3 linked regions of the Oryzias latipes genome follow. Each later gene encodes a partner of the first gene's protein in a complex. Links are inferred from orthologs where the notes say so. Each region holds a gene or a part of one and is shown in the gene's direction. Other genes may lie near its edges.

Evidence for each region. Proteins that work in one complex are often made in the same cells at the same time.
Region 2: the proteins of orc4 (region 1) and orc5 are in contact, whole or in part, in a cryo-EM structure (PDB 7JPO), measured with the Homo sapiens proteins. The link is inferred for Oryzias latipes from reciprocal best matches to the Homo sapiens genes ORC4 and ORC5. Residues at the interface, in NP_001177808.1 of Homo sapiens: Ser18, Gln21, Arg22, Arg25, Glu26, Cys29, Arg30, Gln31, Arg69, Thr74, Asn100, Leu102, Leu103, Gln104, Ile105, Ile109, Glu113, Arg116, Asp162, Arg277, Met281, Met284, Leu285, Asn288, Met311, Asp312, Ser313, Lys314, Asn316, Ile317; in NP_002544.1 of Homo sapiens: Ile17, Ser20, Leu21, Phe22, Gly23, Glu24, His26, His27, Phe28, Ser29, Phe30, Pro31, Tyr36, Gly37, His38, Thr39, Thr98, Phe99, Asn100, Val103, Arg104, Arg131, Glu134, Asn136, Pro139, Gly140, Arg143, Gln145, Glu146, Leu147.
Region 3: the proteins of orc4 (region 1) and orc2 are in contact, whole or in part, in a cryo-EM structure (PDB 7JPP), measured with the Homo sapiens proteins. The link is inferred for Oryzias latipes from reciprocal best matches to the Homo sapiens genes ORC4 and ORC2. Residues at the interface, in NP_001177808.1 of Homo sapiens: Lys168, Asn169, Arg195, Glu200, Leu201, Lys204, Arg205; in NP_006181.1 of Homo sapiens: Asp501, Asp504, Tyr508, Ser512, Gln518, Glu522, Val554.

Annotation. Positions count from the first base shown.
Region 1 is NC_019860.2:3,472,222-3,479,454, reverse strand, and holds orc4 (origin recognition complex subunit 4), read left to right. Parts: upstream 1-2,981; 5' UTR 2,982-3,109; exon of another isoform or gene 3,110-3,115; intron 3,116-3,199; exon of another isoform or gene 3,200-3,218; intron 3,219-3,769; 5' UTR 3,770-3,775; coding exon 3,776-3,832; intron 3,833-3,917; coding exon 3,918-3,994; intron 3,995-4,145; coding exon 4,146-4,236; intron 4,237-4,309; coding exon 4,310-4,385; intron 4,386-4,467; coding exon 4,468-4,553; intron 4,554-4,635; coding exon 4,636-4,684; intron 4,685-4,764; coding exon 4,765-4,916; intron 4,917-4,987; coding exon 4,988-5,161; intron 5,162-5,911; coding exon 5,912-5,998; intron 5,999-6,062; coding exon 6,063-6,171; intron 6,172-6,238; coding exon 6,239-6,334; intron 6,335-6,405; coding exon 6,406-6,473; intron 6,474-6,553; coding exon 6,554-6,733; 3' UTR 6,734-6,824; downstream 6,825-7,233. UniProt on the Homo sapiens protein: Component of the origin recognition complex (ORC) that binds origins of replication. DNA-binding is ATP-dependent. The specific DNA sequences that define origins of replication have not been identified yet.
Region 2 is NC_019881.2:17,805,202-17,812,552, reverse strand, and holds the start of orc5 (origin recognition complex subunit 5), read left to right. Parts: upstream 1-3,353; 5' UTR 3,354-3,635; coding exon 3,636-3,749; intron 3,750-5,601; coding exon 5,602-5,694; intron 5,695-6,199; coding exon 6,200-6,376; intron 6,377-6,555; coding exon 6,556-6,630; intron 6,631-7,351. Other genes in the region: LHFPL tetraspan subfamily member 3 protein, read right to left, coding at 1,811-2,246. UniProt on the Homo sapiens protein: Component of the origin recognition complex (ORC) that binds origins of replication. DNA-binding is ATP-dependent. The specific DNA sequences that define origins of replication have not been identified yet.
Region 3 is NC_019875.2:17,272,923-17,280,005, reverse strand, and holds the start of orc2 (origin recognition complex subunit 2), read left to right. Parts: upstream 1-3,085; 5' UTR 3,086-3,226; coding exon 3,227-3,353; intron 3,354-3,428; coding exon 3,429-3,581; intron 3,582-6,511; coding exon 6,512-6,598; intron 6,599-6,698; coding exon 6,699-6,788; intron 6,789-6,858; coding exon 6,859-6,890; intron 6,891-6,990; coding exon 6,991-7,048; intron 7,049-7,083. Other genes in the region: uncharacterized protein LOC101162319, read left to right, coding at 455-544. UniProt on the Homo sapiens protein: Component of the origin recognition complex (ORC) that binds origins of replication. DNA-binding is ATP-dependent. The specific DNA sequences that define origins of replication have not been identified yet.

The DNA of each region.
Region 1 (7,233 bases):
TACTGCAGACCACAACAAACGCCGAACAATTAATTCAGCAACTCCTGAATCTCTCCCGCCGAGACGAGACGAGAGCGCGTCTCCCAACTTTATATTCCCCTGCTCCCGCTGCAGCCCTCCCCTTTCCCTTATTCGGCCCATAGCTGAACCCCATTGGTCCAAACTACCTAACAACAGGCTGAGCGACAGAACTGAGAGCCAATCAGCTCTCTGCTTGATGCGGTCAATGAACTCCAGAACTTTTAACGCGGCCCAACAGCCATCCAACTCAGTCCGCGACAATATGTTTAAAACTAAAATACAAGTGAATGTGTGCATTTGATGTAATTTCAACATTTTTAAAGTACAATAAGTCTGTGGATTCTTTTTAATACCATTGTTATGCTGTTTCTAATAAATGATGAGTATTTCTCGTGGTAGTTTTGCTGATGGTCTAGTCTGGTTTACGTGGTGAGTTTCTGCTTCATGCAGGCGTTGAGACTTTAAACGTGATCTTAGGTTGGTATGAATGTTTTGTAGATGTGAGACAGACTGCTCACATGCGGACCTGGAGCCAAACACACACTCACACGCTGCAGTGAGTGACAGGCAGTGGGTTTTACCTATTTACAATCCCTGCGCGATTCACCTGCTGTCCCCACAACCCCCCACCCCCACCCTCTGCTAGAATTTCTTGAATTGGTTTCATAATGAAACAAATAAGTAATTCAAGAACATTTTTTTTACACGTGTATTTTCTTTATAAAAACAAGAAACCATTGACATTAACACATAAACAAACATTCATAAAAGCATCCAAAAATTGTAATTTTATTTAAATGGGATGATTTTGACAACGTTGCATGTAAGCATTTATAATAATATGATGTGTTGATGAATAGTTAATGAAAAAGTGTTTTTTTCAATGCTATAAATCAGCTCAGCTGCAGGTTTTTTTCCCCTCCTGCAGCTTCTTCCTCTCTAGACGGATGACAGAAGCACCGTAAAGCCTCACATGTCTGCGCTCGCACTCGTCTGGTCCCATTACTGTAAAATACGGCGTGGACGCCTGGCTGTGCTTTTGCTGGCGGACACGCCTCAGCTTTGACCTTCAGAGCGGCGTGGTCCTCACATCACTCAGTCTTGATGCCCTTTTTTTTTGTTGCTATCTTTCATCCTTGTTTTTATTTTTTCTTTAACCGCACACGCTGAAGATGTTGAGGATGAGGGGAAGTCAGAGCTTTTCAGCTCACATTCACCTAAAGGCCGTGTCACACAGCCAACACGTACATTTTGTGCATATTGCATGGATGAAGCTTTTGCATTGGAATATGGAGTTTTCATTGGAAGTGGTCGCTTGAACACGCGTTGCTGAGGGCGGTGTGAACGTAGCTTAAAGCTACGGTCAGTCAAAGCGTTCAAAAACGTGCTGAACGCGAGTTCTAGAATGTGCGTTTAGCCGACGGTGTTCGCACTGGACGCCGTCCATACGTCACGACCAAATAAGAGTCCCTGGTTGGCCAAAGTTGGACCCACTTTAACTTGCAACATGCGTTCAAGTTTAGCATGTCCAGCACAAAAATGGTCGTAAAGACTTGCGTAGCTACACAGAAACCCGAAACGTGCATCGACACACATTTACGTAGAGTTTTTATCGGAAGTGGCCTCTTGAATGCAAATTGCCGAGGGAGGTGTGGCGAGTGTAAAAAAGAAAAAGAAAAGGCTAAACGTGATTTCTTGAACACGCGTTTAGTCCACAATGTTCACAATGGACTAGCGAGAAGGGGCTTCTGTTGACTAGCGCCTTACCACCACCTACAGTTGAAAGAGGCTTAGCGCGAAATGACGAATTGGTCATTTAGCCCATGGTTGTAGAAATTTGCGCATCTCTATGTAAATGGGAACGTTTTAAACTTGGAAGTCCGAAATACGTGTTTATACACTTTTATTTTTTTGGATGTGGTTACTTGAATGCAAGTTCTTAAACGTGCGTCTAGCCCACGGTTTTCACAATGGACAAGCAGGGAGGGATTCTTCCTCTACTTTTTTTTGTTCACTGTTTACTAGCGCATGTGCGCCATCTACAGTTGGTAGTGGGTTAGTGCAAAATGTTGAAGTGGTGCGAATCTTGGGAATTCTTTTTTGTTTTTTTTCTAGCACAGCTCTATTCCGGTATGAAAGACTTTTCAACATGTTAATTCTTCCATGAATCAAAAGGGACGCCGTTTGTTCATCACAACCAGATCCGAGGGCCCCGATTGGTCAAAGTTTGACCCGCTTTAAGACACATTCAATGAACATTTCGTTAGTCGAGCCCAAAAATGGCCATAAAAACTTGCCTATTTATGTTTTGAACTTGGAGGCCTGTCACATGCATTTACACCTGTTTACATAGACTTTTTATTGGAAGTGGTCATATGAACGTAGACTGGTAGCTCAGAAGAATTCTACGGAGCTCCTAAAGGGACATTAAAGAAGAAAAGCATTAAGGTAAAAATAAAAAAGGTGGCAAAAAAAGCTAACTGGTTTTCTTTGATTTTTGTTCTTTTTTGTTACTTTGTTTTTTTCCCTAGTCATTAACAACAAAATTAAAATATTTAAACAAAATAAAGTAAATTTTTATGTTTTATAAATCTGTGTTTACATCGAGATAATCTCTTTTATTTGCATCATAAAGAAAAAATGAAAAATAGACCCCCCAAAATTATTATTTTTTTCCCAAACTTTTTTCTTAGTTTGGTAATAAAACCAATTAAAAAAAAAAAGAAATTGCACATTTCCAATGAAAATGAATCAGTAAAAGTCATCATGGGATTTAGATTAAATGTAATTTAAAAACGGACACAGCACTGAGAAAACTCACAAACCATGCTTCTGTTTGAAACAACATTATAATATTATTATTTATCAATTATTTACATATTTTAATGCCGTTTCTGATGTTTTAAAGCGTTTTACTAACCTTTATTTTAAAGAAAAAATATACTCATCCGCTTTCAGTCAATCACGAGTTTTCTTCCAGCCAATCAGAGACCGGAGATTCAGCCCATGCCGGAAGTAGTCATCTCGTGTGTCGCAAAAGTCGCGGGAAGATTCCGGGGGGCTACTGTTTGGTGTTTTCTGGAGCCGCGTGAGTGTAAACAACTTTTGTTTACTAAATGCAACTTTTTGTGCTCAACTTCTCAACATTTCGTGATCACGTGGGGGTGTTTTTTTCTTCAACGTGATGTTTCTTTTAGGTTCATCTCCAGCAGGATCACCGAATAGCCGAACTTCCGTTTTAAATGTGGTTACATTAAAATAATGTTTTCCCACGACGTATTTCTTACGTCTAGAAACGGAATGCGCTGTTTATATTTGATAAATAAAACTTTATTTACAATTCGGCTGACATTATAACCTCAGCAAATTCACTTAAAGGCTTCATTTTGACGGTTTAACATGTTCAAAGCCCAATCATTGGAATCAAATCAAACTTTATTTATAAAGCCCTTTTCATACAACAGCAACGCAACATGTTTTACAGTATCTACCCGGCACTAGGAACATCGGACTTCCTGTTTACATTTCTTTAAATATAGAAATTCCTTTTTTTGGGCGGGGTTTATATGTCTACAAACACAAAAGACTTCATTCTTGATACATAAAACTTTATTTACAATTCGGCTTCCAATGTGACGTCAGGTGGGATACTTAAAGGGATCATTTTAACGTTTTAACTTGTTTACTTCAAAGTCTGATCATTTGATTTAAATCAAACTTTATTAACAAAGCACTTTTTTCTCGTCAGGCCATCATGAGTAAGAGGAAAGGGAAAATCTCCCATCAGCCCCTGGGAGAATGCATCACACAGGCTTGTATCCCTTCCTTAAACCTTGAGTTTGCGTGGTAGTGACTTGGAACTTAATGAATTTGTTTGTGTTTTTATGAATTTCTAGGTTCAACGGATCTTGAGGGAGCGATACTGCCAGCAAAAACTAGCCAAAGGACTCGATGGAGTTGGAGCTCAACACAAGTGGGTTTTTATTTTTATTTTAGCTATGTGTCTGATTAAAGCAAAGACGACCCGCAGCTCTGTGACCCAGTTCAGGCTGACGGCGCCGACCTAGTTTGGTGCCCCACCCCCCATCGTTTGTCAAAGCTCACTTGAAGCTCCGCCCATACAGGCACCTGGAGGAGCTGCTGAGGCGCACCGCTGTCTACGGGGAGAGCAACTCGGTGCTGATCGTCGGGCCGAGGGGAGCGGGGAAAAGCTCGGTGAGGAGGCGGCGAGGGAGGGGTGCTGAGGGTGGGCAGTGCTGGTTGTCTGACGGCGTCTGCGTTTGCGCAGCTGCTGAGGAGCGTTCTGCAGGAGCTGCTGGAGGAGAAGGAGGTGCAGGAAAACCTTCTGCAGGTCCACCTTAACGGTAATTGCGACTTTGTGTCCTCCAAATCTGCCTGCTCCTCTAGTAATTTAGTAATTTTCTTTGTTTTTGTTTTTTGTTCCAGGCCTCCTACAGACCGACGACAGAATTGCACTTAAAGAAATAACCAGGCAGCTCCACCTGGAGAACGTCGTTGGAGAGAAAGTTTTCGTATGTTTTTCTTTTTAGTTTGGCGGCCATTTTTGCCTTAAATCGGATCCAAAAATGTTTTCTTTTTTTTTCCCCGTTTCAGGGAAGCTTCGCTGAGAATTTGGCTTTCCTGCTGGAAGCTCTGAAGAAAGGTTGGACGGGTTAAATTTAAGTGGATGACGGTGAAATCCGGTCCTCTCCAGCACTCTGGTTGTGTTTGTGGTTCCGTCAGGTGATCGCACCAGCAGCCGCCCCGTGTTGTTCGTCCTGGACGAGTTCGACCTGTTCGCCCACCACAAGAACCAAACGCTGCTCTACAACCTGTTTGACGTGTCGCAGTCCACCCAGGCGCCCGTCGCCGTGGTGGGACTCACCTGCAGGCTGGTGGGTCTCTTTTTTTTTACTTTTTCGTCAGGGAAGAGTAGCACCCCTTTGACGTCTTCCTGTCTTCTCAGGATGTCCTGGAGCTGCTAGAGAAGCGGGTGAAGTCCAGGTTTTCTCACCGACAGATCCACCTGCTGAGCGGCTTGACGTTCAGTCAGTACCTGGACCGAGTCCGGGCCCAGCTCAGCCTCTCCGATGATTTCTGCGACAGCAGGTTCGCTCAGGAGTGGAACGCCAGTGTAAAGGTAAACCAAGTGAAATGTTTCACTAGGTGATCAAGAATCTAACAATGTGTCATTTGATATTGTGTAGCAGGCAACAATAGTCGTTGCTATGGAAACTTTTCACACATATTTTAGGATAGAGATATGAAACGTGTCGTACTTGTTTATCAGCCCAAAACATGAAAGAAAGAAAAAATCTATGGTTGCTATGGACTTGATTCCTCTAGGGAGCCTGTGGAAACATGATCTGGTAAAATTCACTGATTTAGTTTGTTTTTTTGTCTTGCTTAATTTTGAGTGAGGATAAGTGTTCAAGACATTTGGCAGAAAAACTTAATTGCACCAAAGACCTCTGGTCGGTGCAACTATTTTTGATCTTTAGTTATGCGATCAATGTAAATCGGCTGATTTTGACTCAGGGGAAAAAGTTGCATATTGGTGCAAACATCATTTGCAAAGCTGCTTTTTCTCCGCATCACAATCCGTTTCCCAATTCCGTTAATTATGTGTTAATTGTGCTATTTTCATGTCACCGGCGACAGCTCCCACGTTAAAGGGTTCATGCTCGTGTCGAGCTGAATGCAACATTGTCTGACAAGCTTAAGTATTGGTTGCTATGGAAAGCATTGATATTTATTTAAGGATAGAGATATGAAACTTGTTTCACCTGGTCATCAGCCAGAGACGTAAAACATTTTCAATGGTTGCTATGGACTTGGTACCTCTGGAGACCTGATTTAGGACGACTAACATTTAGTTTTTCTTCCTTAGAATCTCATCGAGGACAAGTCTGTTCAGGACGTTTTGCAGAGACACTTTGACTGCAGCAAAGACTTTCGGTCGTTGCACGTGCTCCTGGTAAGGGATACGCCACTGTCCTTATATTAATTATTGTCAGTCGTTTATAACTCTAAAGTTACAGATGTTGTGTCTGAGCCGGGTCACCCTCGCCAAACCCACCATCAAAGCTTCAGACCTGCTGGATGCCAGCCGCCTCTGCCTCGCCGACTGCAAGACCAACATGCTGCACGGTAAAATCTGTCGACGTTTGTTGGTTACGTCAGTTTACCCGAGTCACGTCTAACGGCTGGCCTTTAGGTCTGTCCATTGTGGAGCTGTGCCTGATCATCGCCATGAAACACCTCAACGATGTTTACGAAGGAGAGCCCTTCAACCTGCAAATGGTCCATAACGGTACAGACTTTGACTCATTTTTCTCCAAACGTGCGACGACAGGACAGAACCCGGAGCGTTTGTGCTTTCAGAGTTCAAAAAGTTCCTGCAGCGCAAGTCCAACTCCATGTATAACTTCAGCCCGCCCGTCATCGTGAAGGTGAGACCTCTTCCAGCCGTCCAAAGGAATTTTAACTGTCCAGGTGTCACCCACTTCGGCCTTGTCCGCTTTGTCTGCAGGGGTTCGAGCACCTGCAGCAGCTGGAGCTCGTCCGGCCCGTCGACGGCTCGCCTAAAACCCAGAGGGAGTACCAGATGATGAGGCTCATGGTGGACCGCAGCCAGATCATGGAGGCGCTGCAGAAGTACCCACAATGCCCCACCGACATCAAGCAGTGGGCCCTGTCGGCTTTTGCCTAAACCCACAAAACACCTCAGAGGAAACTGTTGAATTCCATTGAAGAGTTTTTTTTTTTTTAATATATCTATTTAATAAAACGATAAAATATGGCCTTGTTTTATTTTTTTTATATCAACTTTAAAGTTCTGGATTTAGAATATATAAGTGAAGTTTTTCACAGCTAAATGCTGCCATCTAGTGGTAATCTGTGAAATCTCTTTAAAGAAAACCTCGAAACTTATTACGGCTTTAAACCAATTATGATCTTTAAGATCTAGACTAACCCTTGTGCTATCCTAGGCACTTTAACATTGGGAGTTGGGTCATCTAGACCCACTAGACAGTGCGCTGAATCTTTTTTCTTCAATGATTTGTGATCTTCACTGGTGTCCATGGATTACATGAAATCTTTCCACCTTTATCCTGGTAGGGAGAACACGGCAGTGTAAGGGTGGGGTCATCTGGACCCCATAAGATAGCACAAGGGCTATAAATACCATAAGGTAGATTTTATTTGAAA
Region 2 (7,351 bases), on another chromosome or scaffold:
GCAGGTGGATGAGAGGTCACCGGGTCATCGTGGATGGGTGATTACAATCCAGATTGTTATCAGATGGATCAAGAGGCATTTTTAAACATTTTATTGTTAAGAAGCTTCCTCTCTGCCTATATAGTTATGACATTTAGTTTGTCATTCATGCATAGTTATGCTGGGAGGTTGTGAGGCTGCGTGCTCACATCTTCACACTACAAATAAAACTGAACCTGTTCTCTGTGAATTAAATGACAAATACTTTGTTTCCAACATCATTGGCTTCTAATAAAACTGGTTTTAGTCTTAATATATGCCCTCCATTATCAGAAAAATGCCACAAGAACATGTTAAAAACCCAGTTAGCCTCAAAGTGGGTCTTTAACTTCTGTAAGATCCGAGTAATCTGTCGAATTCTAAACTCACTTTAAAGGTAAAAATATATATAATTTCGATATTGAAGTACAAAAAATGAATCAAAATACCAACAGACGTTATTGAAACCTGTTTTCATGGTCCCAATAATTATTTTAAGTGTTTCGTCACATTTGACCACAGGAAATAAAATGTACTGTCTTTATTTTGCATGAAGGACTTCAAAATAAAAGGTATAAACAACCCAAAAGTGAGCTTCAATTGACTCAAGTGATAGAGAACATCTCTGGTGAAAACCTATATCAGGGGTCTGCAACCTCTGGCTCTTTTATCCCACCATTGTGGTTTGTCTGGTCAAAGAAACGGTTTTAAATTTAAAAAGTAACTAAGTAAGCAGTAAAGTAAAAAAAAAAATGAAAGAAACTCAAAACCTATTCACAAACTTGTGAAGGACAGTACATATCACAAGTCAAACAAAAACATTGTGCAAGATTTTTGTGTGTCGAGTACTACAGAAACTCAATTGGAGGTCAACTACCAGAACTTAGGCAGATTTTCTGTTTTTGAATTCAAGGATTTAAAGTATAATAATGCTTAAAAAATACAGTTAAAGTATTTTGATTACTTTTGTAAGTTTTTAAGTTACATTTACAATTGGCTGAGATGCACCTCAAGTGATAAAATAAACTGCTTTTTTTAATCACTGCTCTACATTTGCTGCATTGAGATGATTCTATGTGGCATGGGAAGTCTTTTATTTTGAATTAAAGTCATGTAATCCACTCCAAAAGTTGTAAACTATTTGATATTTTGAAAATTTAACAATAGAAAGTCAAAATGTATTTCAGTTATTTGCCCACATCAGACGTTTTTTACACACTATTTCTTCCCAAAAAGGAACTAAAACCTATTATCTGTCTCAGCTTAATAGAATTACATAACGTTACTTTTGTGTTGTAGTTTTCCTTTTTTACTTTTGCAAACCCCCTGGCATTTGTTTTGAAAAAGTGATGCACAGTTTATTCCTTACTGTATGTCATTTAAATGTTCTGAATAAAGACTTTAAAAAAGGGGGAAAATCATATTGTGAAATTGGGGTATTTCTTTTTTATCTTAATGTTTTATGTATGCCAAAAAAAAGTTAATTTATCATAGTAACAGTATAAATATAAATCAGTGTATTAGTTTTCTGAAGGGTGAGGTAAAACGGAGCAGGACGGTTAAGTGTTGAAAGCTGCAGACTTATGGCCGGACAATTACAGGCAAATTTGTATTATTGACTTTGTTTTTGACAAAAGATGTAATTTCAGGTGTGATCTCTTCCAAATTGCCATTCTGAGGCAATACTTTGGATTTTTTTTAATAACTGTTTTGGCTCTGTCAGTTGTTTTTCCGTCATAGCTTGACTCCTAACATCCCCCTGAACTTCCACCTGGAAGCAGAGCAGTCCTACCTGCAGCCAGCTGCATCCAGCCGCAGATCTTGTACACGGTTCCGGTGCTGCAGAAGAAGAACAGCGCGAAGCAGGCGATGCAGGTGATGACCAGCGACATGGACATGCAGATGAAGAAGGAGGCGGCTTTGAACGCTCCGGAGGGGATGCTGCTGAACTCCGTGAAGCTTCCCTGACAGGTCAGGTCCCGGGACAGTCCGTTCCCGATGCAGTAGTGGAACAGACCAAAGTAGCCCGCCTGAGGCGTGTCTGCGCCGTCCCCGATCCAGTACGGCTGGATGAAGCACACCACGTTGACGATGGCGAAGAGGATGGTGAATATCGCCCAGAGGACGCCGATGGCCCGGGAATTACGCACGTAGTTGGTTTGGTAGATCTTGGCAGCCTCCGAGGCGGGAAGCATGGTGGTGGTCGCGCTGGGGGCCCCGGGGACCATCCTCCGGTGTATGTGAGGTAAGAGACTTAAGATTTGCACTCAGTAAACAAACCTCTTCCTCGTCAGGTAGTAATCTTCATCAGAACTAGCTAATTTTCCTGTTTTACGTGGATGCTTTACGCGTCTTCAATGCGCGCTCGCATCCTTGACTTGAGCCCTCTTTGCGCTTTCCTCCTTCATCAATCTACGGGAGAAAAAGAAAGACAATCTATTGAAATGCTTGAGAAATCCTCTCTGCAGAAGGCTTCCTCTGCCCGCTCCCCTGATGTCTCCTCCTGGTGTTTCTGCCTGAGACGATAACACCGCTCCAGCTGCCACGAGTGGCTGAGATGTGGCTGAAATGGTCTGTGTGCTCTCGACGGAGCAGCAGCCGCGGATGAGATCCTATTGAATTAGAGTCGGAAGATAGTTGCGGATATTACACAGGCAACTCACATCCCTTAATCCCATTCTGACGCATTATTCCGGTAACGCGCGTAAATCCCGAACAGACACATTGATATGAAAGCAAATGCGAAGACTAAATGCTTTTGATTTTTCTGCTCGTCAATCCAGTGCGCATGACTGATACGATCAGCATAAATACAAGTTCATAAAAAAACAAGGATGCGCTCTTCCTACATATACAATTTTAAATAGGTTCGTTTACAAAATTTCTGAATTGTAGTCTATTTTCAAAATATAAATGTTAGGTATTCCTAATTAGTTTAGTTTGGTTAAATTTAATTATCATATTTCTTAAAACAAACACACAAATAATCCTAAAAAGGTGAAAGGTTAGAGACAATAAAATAAGTTTTATTGGGTAATGGGTAAATCAGGAAGGTTATTTACAATACAGATTAGCCAAAATATGTATAATTACTCGTTTTAATAAAAAAAAAATCATTCTTAACAGCTCATACTAGATGCATACTCTCCAACGTTTTTAAAATTACACATCATAATTATGAGATATATATGAAATAAAGTATAATTATTTATTTCGTTTCTTTTTTTAAAATACTTTTTGATTTAAAAGATGTCTAAAGTTGTTTTTTATTTTATGTTTCGGATTTTTACTACATTACCCAGAGTTCCACAATACTTTTCTGATTGGATCATACGGAGGCGGAGTTTATGACGTAATCCAACGGCGCGCAAAGTGATCGCAGCCGGTTTCAAGTACATTTGCTCGTTTTTCCTCGATAAAAACGTAGTTTTTGAGGAGTGTTTTAAAGTTTTGTATCACGCGCTTTCTTCGACTTAACGACGTCAAGTTCACTTTTTTGCCGCTAACGCTGGCGACCGTCATCTTTATTTTCGTGAAAGTTAAGCTAATGTTTTGGTTTGTTTATTAGTTTAGCTCCTCGTGGCTTCAACTATAAAGTTAGAACCAAGAAAAGCAGAATGGCGGGACTGTTAGAGCATCCTGGATACGACGAGGAGAGGCTGAAGAGAGCCGCAGAGCAGCTGCCCTGCAGAGAAGTTCAGGCTGGGATGTTGCTGTCCCTTATGGGAGAGGTATGGGGCCGTTAACTCAAGGAAGGTCCACCTGATAACAAAATTCCCAAAGCAAAACAGTGTAATTATTAGTCAATGTATTTATAAAATAATAATAATAAAGTTTTTCATAAATTCTCATTCTCGTGTTAAAACACCAGTCGGAGTTGCTTTAATACCCACTCTGATTCATTAAAAATTGTTTGTAACATGTACTTGTGGCATTTTTCCAATGTTCTAAAAGTATTTCTTTATTAAAATTGTGATCCAGGACCAGACGAAAAGGCTCTGTTTGAAAAAGATCGTATATTTGTGATGTAGAAAACACACAAGCTCCCTGCTCAGCTCCATTCTGATGCACTTGTAAACAAATAGATCCATGTATGTCTTTGTTTTCTTCGCCCAAACTAGTGTCTGGCGCCCAAATGTACGGCTGGATATAGCTCCAATATTGCTCACCCTTTTTGTTGCACCAGTAATGTTAGTTTGGGTGTTTGAGAAAGATAGTGGGAGAGTGTAAACAGAGCTGTGGGCAGGGTTACTCTGTGCCAACAGTCTTTCCCACAATCAGACGTGAATTTATAATGAATTACTGCCGCTCTGCAGAAACTATGTCTTAGAAAATGTCAGAGGGTTTTTGATTTTAGCTAAAAAAGGGCATCATCATAATTAAAAGACCACTGGGAACACTTTGTAAATAAATCAAAAGATGAATATAGTAGGTTGTAATTTTTATTATTATTATTATTATTATTTAAAAGTGTGTTCATGAATAGGAATTTAGTCTTTGTGAGACGAGATAGATTAAAGAGACTTTGGACAGAAACGTAGTCGTATTGTTCTTGCTATTTTTAAATTCTTACTTAAAATATAGAGACACACCTTGCACAATTACAGACTACCGTATTTTCCGGAGTATAAGTCGCACCAGCCCAAAAATGCATTATAAAGTAGAAAAAAACACAGATAAGTCGCACTGGACTATAAGTCGCATTTTAACTTTCACAACCTTATATGACACAATCATAGCAGACTGTTTATCTAATAATTTCACAGTAATTTTTTCTCAAACTTATTTATTTATTCCTTTCATGAAGCATCATTGGCTAACTAATACTCTGTTTTCATCCTGTATTTGTAGAAACAGTTTTCACTTTTATTGCATTTCTGAATCTATGAAATCTTTGGAAAATAGAATATTATGTTGTTAGCCTTCAAGATCTAACTGTAAAAAAAAGTTTGCTGATTCTCTGAGTCACTGAACATACTCTTAACACTTAACACTTACACTTAACACTTACCTCATACATCAAATTGACCCAGGAACATCATCTCTGTTCCTCACAAATGAACATAACAGGAGGGTTAACAATGTATTTATTTCAATTTATTTCTAATATAAGTCGCTGCGGAGTATAAGTCGCACCCCTTGCCAAACTATGAAAAAAAGTGCGACTTATAGTCCGGAAAATACGGGTATTTAAAATAAATACAAGAACTAAAAATAAAAAGGGAAATTTGGTGAAACAGGTGAGATGGACTTTAAAAATATGGAGTCACATTAGGCTAATAATTTCATTAAATAATGGACACTGTACTGAAATATGATATTTCTCTAAGTGTTACTCAAATATGTATATTTTGTATGTAATGATCTTGTTTTTATACTATTTTAAGCTGCCTTACAATCATCTTGAGCGTCTTGATAAGCGCTTCAAATAAAATAAAGTAACCCTTTTATTCTTGGGCATTTAGGTGATGACTAATATAGTATTTAGAGCATTTTTCAATGTATTATGTTGTTTTTACCTAGTACTGGTGCAATGATCTAATATTATTGACAGTAACATTCGTGTTATTTTTCTCTTGACAGCCACACCAGTACTGCTACCCCTCAATCTTCATCTACGGTCATCGGGCTTCAGGAAAAAGCCATGTAATAAATGTTCTGATGAAGGAGCTGGAGGTGATGTCTGTTAAATCCGTGGTTGTTTTGGTTTAGATGTGGTTTCTCAGTGTTGTCTTTTGACAGCGTCAAAGAAAAGATGGATTCTGAAAGCTTTTTCTCCTTAGGGTTTCATCTTTTTCGAAGTTGAAAGGATAATGAAGGAATGACAACAACAAGAGAACACGGGGTTTCTTTCAATAAACACTGAAAGAGTGTTTAGTTAATTAAACATTGCGCTTTTTTCAAGTAAATAAGTGGATTCTGGTGATGTCAATTACATTTGTGGGTTACAAAAGTAAAACGTGAAAAAGATGTGTTTTTGCTAAAACCAAAGGATTATTTATCATTTACATTTAATCTGCAAAAGATAAAATCCACCCTCTAAAGTGTTGTCTTTGTTTGGGCAGTATGTTGTTGGGTTTTTAAAAAGTAGCAGCTGGGATTTTTGTGCCATGTGATGTTTTTTTTTTTTGTGCATCCTCCAGAGTTCTCAGTTTCCTTCTTACACCTCCTCTTCCTGCAGCTTCCTCACGCCACGCTCAGCTGTGTCGAATGCGTTTCTGTCGCGCTGCTGTTTGAGCAAGTCTTGCGGTCCTTCTTCGGGTGCGACGTGGCCTCGCTGCTCCCTCGCAGCCCCTCCCTGACAGACTTTGTGCGCATTTACCGCCAGCAGTCGCCTGCCCGGCAAACGCGCTACATTGTGAGTTCACGCTCCTCCCTCCTTTTTTCCCATCGTTTGTGCTCTCGTGACTCATGGTTTTCACTTGAAAAATGCTGAAATCGTAATTTTTCCATCTCCAAATCGTTTCATCTGTTCAAATTTAAGTCTAAGAAGTTAACTGCGAGTGGATATGATGAACTCTATTTTGAATTTTTTAGGTCATGGAAAAAGCGGAACTTCTGAGAGACGCCGATGCTAACCTCCTCCCGGCTCTCCTCCGCCTGCAGGAGCTGGTGAGATGATTCAGCTCTTTGTCTCATCTGTCCAGCATATTTTTGCTGGAGGGTGTGGTTGATGAAGGAGGGAAGGAAATCATTTGTAACGGATGACCTTTTGCTTGAGTGCAAGATTTTTCATAATGTTGTATGGAGGAAATAGTGTTAATTGTTCAATGCATTTTATTAGAGACTCAAGTGACAGATTGTCTTTTATTCTAGGAAGTAGTTTATTGGAACATTGTCTGCATTTTTACACAATAATTAGGATACAGAGTCATTTAAATATGCTGAAAGATAAAGAAAAGTTTTTTTTTAAGGGGAGTTATTAAAGACATATTTATTTGACTCAAATATCCACAGATAATTCAGATTCACTTCATTTATAAAGGGTTGAAACAGTTTATTCATTTTCAATAACTGAAGCATCTGCTGCTACAATTATATGCACCATATTCAGAATAAAAATCATTTCCTAGTTGTGTAAATAATCACAAAGGTGTAATTACATGTGTTTCAGTAGCAGGAATATTCTTGGGCGTTTTTGAAATATTACACAACAAAGGCTAAAAGTCATCCTAGCTGGGTAAAAAGACCACTTTTGTTGGATCTTTTTTTATAGAATATTGTCACCTGGTACTAGGTGCGTACAAATTGTGGTTTTTAAATGTGTGACAGTGGGGAAATTTTCACTCAAAGATAGTACCGTAGAAAGCGAAAACAATCTGATCTCTGGCGT
Region 3 (7,083 bases), on another chromosome or scaffold:
ACGACTAGATCTTGTTTTTGTCATCTGAGCCGGCACCTGGCTCAAAACTGTACGGCCAGATAGCCCCAGTATTGCTCGCCATTTTTGTTGCACCTGTAATGGTAGTTCGAGGGTCTGTAAGCTAGCGGGAGAGAGTGTAAACAGATAGTTCTCAGTTGTGGGTGACCGGAAATGGGAGTGGGGTTGCTACAACTCGGAGGCAAATTTCTAATGAATTTCTGCTCTGCAGAGACCAGAGAATGTTACAGCTTTTTTAATTACAAATTAAAGACCACTGGGAACGATTTTAAAATGGATCATGATATAACCGGAGTGGTCTAGGGTTCTGTTAGCAGAAACGGCCTTTGACAGCTAAACTTGAATATGTTATTTTAAGTGATGCTATCATAGTCTGTACACATTACTTTAGATGTTCTTCAATCTGAGTTTTGCTATGTAACTTTCTTTTTTGCAGTCGTGTGCAACAGCCATGATGCATCCTGTCTATCATATTCATAGTGACGGACATCTGCTGGGGAAGTGGACCCCCACTCGTGGGTGGTGAAGCCTATCCAGCTGTCATACAATAACTTCTCCGTGGGATAAGTGTGTTGAAACTTTTAGGAAAAAAAACTCAACCTGTGTAGTTGAGTTCCAAATAATGGAAGATCAAATTAAATAAATAAAGTTTATCATTCCAAGATCTGTAGATATATTTTGATCAAATAAAAGCAAATAAAAGTTTGAATGCACTGTCATGTAACAAAAGTCATAACAATGCTGTTTCTCTGAATTTTATAGAATTTCATGGTGTAAAATTAAATTAGACTGCACGCGCTTTAGTAATGGAATCAGCAACTAATCCTCAGCGTATAAGAGAATTTTATCTGCAGGTTCATCAACTTTAGCAGTTTGATTCTGTGGTTGAAATTATTTCATAAATGTTTTATGGTGAGATTTTTGAGCTCATGTCTGCATGTTTATGTTATGTTATAGTCATGCATGTTACTTTTGAGTTGCTTGTAAAACATTTACATGTGTTGAGTGAAATTCCAGCTTAAGCAGAGCATCTTTTCATGATGAATATATGAAAAATAATGTAAACTATGCAATGATAATTTTACATTTTCATAGTTAAGAATGTGTGTAGTTGTGGAACTTAATAAAATCACTTCCAGGAATGTCTTAAAATTATTGTAATAAAATTTAGCTCCAGATTATTTTTGCTTTCCTCTTGGCTCTTGCCAATCCATATTTTTCTGAAAAAATAGGACCTAGAGATACATTCATTAAATTATAAGTCAATCGGCATTTTCTTTTTGTTTTGAGGATAATAAATATTGGTTGGAGTAAACACTAAACATCTTTATAAAGCAAATTGCATTGTTTGTCAAAGGTGCTTTAAACCCACCACTTATTCGATTAAAAAAAAATAATCACAAGCAATAAAAAAACATAGAAAATTGGTAGTGATTTAAATTTTGCCAATTTGTTTGTACTTAAGTGTATTTATGGGGGTATGATGTGTATTTCTTTTCTTTAATCAAATTTAAAGTGAGATTTATAAGGATTTTAACTTGTCTGGTCAGCATCTTGCTAATGCAACTTAATTTTCAAACAAATGACATTTGTATTAAATCAAATTCTTTCCAAGATTTTAGACGTGTGTTTTAAAATAGTTTTATAATAATTACAATGTAACCAGAGTGGTTGATTTAAAAAAAAAAACGACGCATATAATTGTCAATGGTTTGGTATGTCAACAAGTTAGACTTCAAATAATTAATTTGTCGTTTGATGTTGGAAATAAAATTCAGTCATATAAAACTGGAAAAACATTAAAACTTTCAGAAAAGGACATCATTATGGGTTGTTATGATCAACGTTGACTGGAACATTGTTTTTTTATAAAACAATTGATTTGGTTTTTGGAGAATTTTCATATTCAAAAAAGGTCATAGTCAAATTAAAAATTTATTTAAAACACTTTTTGGTAAAATCCTCAAACAAATTAAAACAAAAAAGGCAATTTCGACTAAAGTAATTTCTGAATCTGTGCAAAACTGGGTGTGTTGTTGGATGTCAGACCTTTAATCATCTTATGTATGCTGATGACCTTGTCATTTTTAGCCCCTACAGTGCTGGGTTACAAACACTTTTAAAAGTTTGTTCTGACTATGGCAGAGATTTTGATATAAACTACAATCCCTCTAAAAGCAAAGTAATGATTGTAAGGACCAAAGACGACAGAAATGTAAACTTTCCTGTTTTTAAGCTTTGTGGAACGCCTCTGGAACAAACCTCATCTATCAAATACCTTGGACATTTCATTACTGATGATTGGAGGGATGATAGAGACATTCAGAGACAGTACTGTAAACTCTATGCTCAGGCAAACATGCTGATGAGAAAATTCAGTACGTGTTCTCTTCAAGTGAAATGTTCGCTGTTCAGAGCTTACTGCACTCCTCTGTATACGGCCCCTCTTTGGTGGAACTATGGACGTGGGACATACCGCAAATTCTTAGTGGCCTATAATGATGCTTTTAGGCTTCTGCTACAGGTGCCAAGGTGGTACAGAGCCAGTCAGCTATTTGTGGATGCTCACATCCCCACCAGTGAAGCACTACTGCGTAAGCTTACATACGGCCTTATGGAACGCCTAGACAAATCTAAGAACTCAATTATCATGTCTCTGACTGATCCCAAAAGAAGCTCATGCAGCTACACTTCTGCCCTGAGGAAACACTGGATACAGCGATTATACTCTTTTTAATTTATATATTTTTACTTTTTATTATGTATACTGTATTTGTATCTTTTTCTATGGACCACATCTGAGTCTGAAATAAACGTGTGTTTAAAAAGGCACATTTTCTTATAAACTTTAGTTCCTTCTTTTTGCTTTATTTCTATCTTTACAACGGCCACTCACACATTTCTTTTGTATGTTGTTAAAAAAAAAATAAGTGAAAAAAATTATATCGGAAACCTTTACAAAAGTTAGACTTTGAAGTGCATTCTGGGTAATGATTTTTTAAGTGTGTGGGCTGTGATTGGTCAGTACACGACCTTTCGCCTGTCACGTGGTTTAAACCTTCAGAAGGATGGCGCGGGAAGTTGTCAGCTCACCGTGGTATTTAGTTCAGTTTGCTAACGTTTCTCTGCAAGGTGCTTAGTTTTTACGAGCTTTTCCCACGCTGTCAGTGTGTTTTTTCATAAAGTTTTATATTTTTGGTCAACCTGTATGTATCGGTCTTCTCGGCGTCCAACCACGCAGTGTGTTGTGTTTGCCATTAGAGGACCGAGCGCGATGGAGGTGAAGTTTGTCGGGGATGAGGATGTTCTGGAGCACATCGTGGAGAAACATGACGGTAAAAGCTTTTAAGTCTTTCAACAAATCTGCGCAGACGCGGTGATCTTAAACTCCCTGTGTTTGGTCTGCGCAGGCGTGCTGGGCGGCGGAAAGTCTGTGCAGAGGATGGTGACGTTTAAGAGCCCCGCTGGACGTCGGGGGTGCCTGGAGGAGGAAGAACAGGAGGAAGATGAGGTCTTTGACGAGCAGAATTATATCCAGGCTTTGGGAGCAGATAATGCAACAGGTGAGGCGACAACAACTCTGTCATTTAGTCATTTTTTGCTTATTTACAACTTCAATAAACAAGTTAACCCTACTCCTGCCATGAAGAACTAAAGGTACATCACAGCTCTTTACATGCAGATGTTGACATACACAGGAATGGATACAGACTCTCGCTCTCTATTTTTTCCAATAAACTTTATTGTACATTTTTTTTTCAATTTACAGAAATTCACACAATTTGCACAATAAAGCAACAATTGTTAATATCAAACACACACATAAGACCAAAAAATAAACAATAATACTAATATTATTAATAACGTGTGCCTCTTTTTTCTTTTTTATAAATGCTCATATACAAACCAAGTTAGGGTGAACAATCGTTATAAATGTGCATATAGAAAAAACAAAACAAAATTTAAAAAAAGGCAATAATAATGGATTGGATTTATCTGCGCTTTTCAAGACACCCAAGGGCGCTTACATTATGTCCATTATTCATTCACTCCTCATTCATACTTGATGATGGTAAGCTACAGTTGCAGCCACAGCTGCCCTGGGGCAGACTGACAGAGGCGTGGCTGCCATTTCGCACCCCTCTGACCATCACCAGGATCATTCATGTGCATTCACACACCAGTGGAGCCACACTGGAGGCAAGGAGGGTGAAGTGTCTTGCCCAAGGACACAACAACATTTTTGGCTGGTGGGAGCGGGGATCGAACCGCCAACCCTTTGATCATTGGACGACCCGCCCAACCACCTGAGCCACTGTCGCCCCAAAATAACAATACTTTTGATATATTTTGAGAAATTACTGAAGTTTTCTTGTTTTTGTTTTGGAATGCATTTAAGACACTCATAATAATCAGAACAATAATTCAAAAAATACTAAACAAAGGGCATGTATTTTTCCATTTACATAAATGAATGAAATGTTTGCATAAAATAATAACAACATTAATGACATCAGAAATTCCCGGGTCCAGATTTTCCATATAGAAAAAACCATCAGATAAAGAAAAAAAGGGAATATTTAAAACTTTAAGTGACAACAAATTGTGAATATCAGTCCAAAATATTTGTATCTGGTTGAAACTGTAAAAGAGATGTTCCAACGTTTCAGTTTCAGATGAACAGAATAGCCATGGTTCCCATTGAAATTTGAATCTTTTATGTTAAAAATTTCCAACAGGGTAAATTTTTCAATATTATTTTTAAATGTGTTTCTTTCATTTTAGGTGGAAGTGGGAACTTTTTGTATTAAGAAAAAGATTTGTCCATTAGGGTGGTTTCTAAGTCGCATCTATTTTTTTTTACTAAAGTTGCAGAAAATGATTTGTTTAAAGGTTAGAGTTACTAATTTATTGTTGCATTTTTTATCTTTTATGGGAATATCATTAATTTTCAGCTGTGAAAATTGTGGTTGGATTGCATTGTATTGTAGTATGTTATGAATAAGATTAAGTAAAGGTATTGGAATTTCTTTACAGACTTTGTTATAACAGTTACTAGAATCCTTAATTTTGTATTTAGTTACAAACTCATTGTATGATAACAACATTCCATCAGTATGCATCAAGTCATGAACAAAACACACACCATAATCATACCATTCAGACATAAACAAGGATTTCTTGTTTACAGCTATAAATCTGTTGTTCCATAAAACAGTGTTGTGAGGGGAGAAGTTATGGGTGAAAAGCGTCTTCCCAAATTCTAAGTAAAAGTAAAAGTTTGATAGTTTCATTGGTATTTTTGATAGATTATAATCACATTTCATTGTATTAAATAAAGTGTATTAAAATGTATAAAGTGTATTAACATATTAATTACTGTTTTCTTCTTGTACAAGGTGTAATGTTTGTATATTATTAATAATGTTATTGTAGTTGTTGGGTTGAATTGTGCATAGCAAAAAATAATCTAGCAGGTTTAACTTATTGAAACAGTCAATTAGAGCAGTCTGAGAATCTTTAAAGTCCCTCTCTGGTCATCTTTTCAGCTATTTTCAAAACATCTTCTGATTATGACTATACCTTTTTAGCCTAAATAAAATAAAGGCTGTGTTGTTTTCTAGGACATAATTTCTGCTGAGCTGCAGTGGTTCATTAGAAATTCGCCTTTGAGTTGTGGGCGGGACCAATGGCCGTGGAATAAGCCCTACCCCACTTCCCATCATCCACCTGTTTACACGTTCGCTTGCTAGCTTACAGCCCTTCAAACCTCCTACCTAACAATACAGGTGCAACAAAAATGGAGAGTTATATCTGAGCTATCCAGCTGTAAAGTTTTAAGGTAGATGCCAGGTCGGATAAGGAAAATAAAGAATATAGTCGTCCACAGATGGATGCATTCGAATGGAGCAGAGCAGGGAGCTTGTGGCTCTACATCACAAATATTCTGTTTTTCCAACTGGATTTTTTTGTCTGTCCTCGATTAAAAACAATGTGAGCAGAGAAATACTCAGAATGCAATTTTGGGATCCATTTTCTTAATATATGTCCTCCAGCATAAAAAAATGTCACGAGAATATGTTAAAACCTCCAGAAAGGCTTTTTACATTGGACCAGCTGGTCTTTAAGATTTAAGTGTTTTGATATTCGTAAAACTTTTGACAGCATTCTGTTACATTTCTGTTTTCTTTTGGATTTCTTATACCAGTGTTTGAAGGATTTTCCTTCGTCATTGTTTACATTTTTCTGCCTTCCCTCACCTCCGTCGGGGTTTTCAGCATTATTTCAGCCACTTCAGCTGCATTTTCACCTGCAGTCATGCTGGAGGAAGAGTTTCTTCATCAGTGACCAAAAATAAACACGATTGAAACTTTGTAAACTAGCACCAAATGTTATTCATTTATGTAGTTGAGTAACAGAAGGTTGGAAAAGAGAAACTTCTCTGAGTTGTCTCAATAATTCACATGAATCTTTTGATCCTTTTCTTTTACAGCAGATGAAGACGGTCTCTCAGGAGTGGCTGGATCCTCTATTTTTACTTTCCAAAAAATCAAGCGTAGCCACCGCATGGCCCAAACTGGTGAGGTTCTCCAGCCTCTTCTCACATGTTTGCCCAAACTGTCTTGCAAGCTGCAGAAGTTGTTTTCCCAGCATCCTTTGCCTCTTGTTTTTGCACGCAGCGAATGAACTGGCGCGAACGCCGGGCAAAAGCGCAAACGTCAGCACGACCTCAAGCACTGAACCACAAACCCCCACTCGAACAGGTCGCGGTGAGTTCCCCAGACCCTCTGCTCCTCTGTTCAAGCACTTTTAGCTGATTCCTGTTCTCCTCTGCTTAAGATCACAGAGCAGGAAACCGGACCCCACATAGGGTGAGACCACTAAAAATTAAAGACATTCTTATTTTTTAAAGAGGTTAAAGTCACGGTCATGCAATTTTTGGTCACCATTCCTGCTTTCCTCCAAAAACAGAGCAAAAAAGTCCAGTTTGTCTCCACAACCCCACATAGACTCAGGAAGAGACTGACAGGTGAGTCCAAAACAATGCAAAAAAAATAATGAATC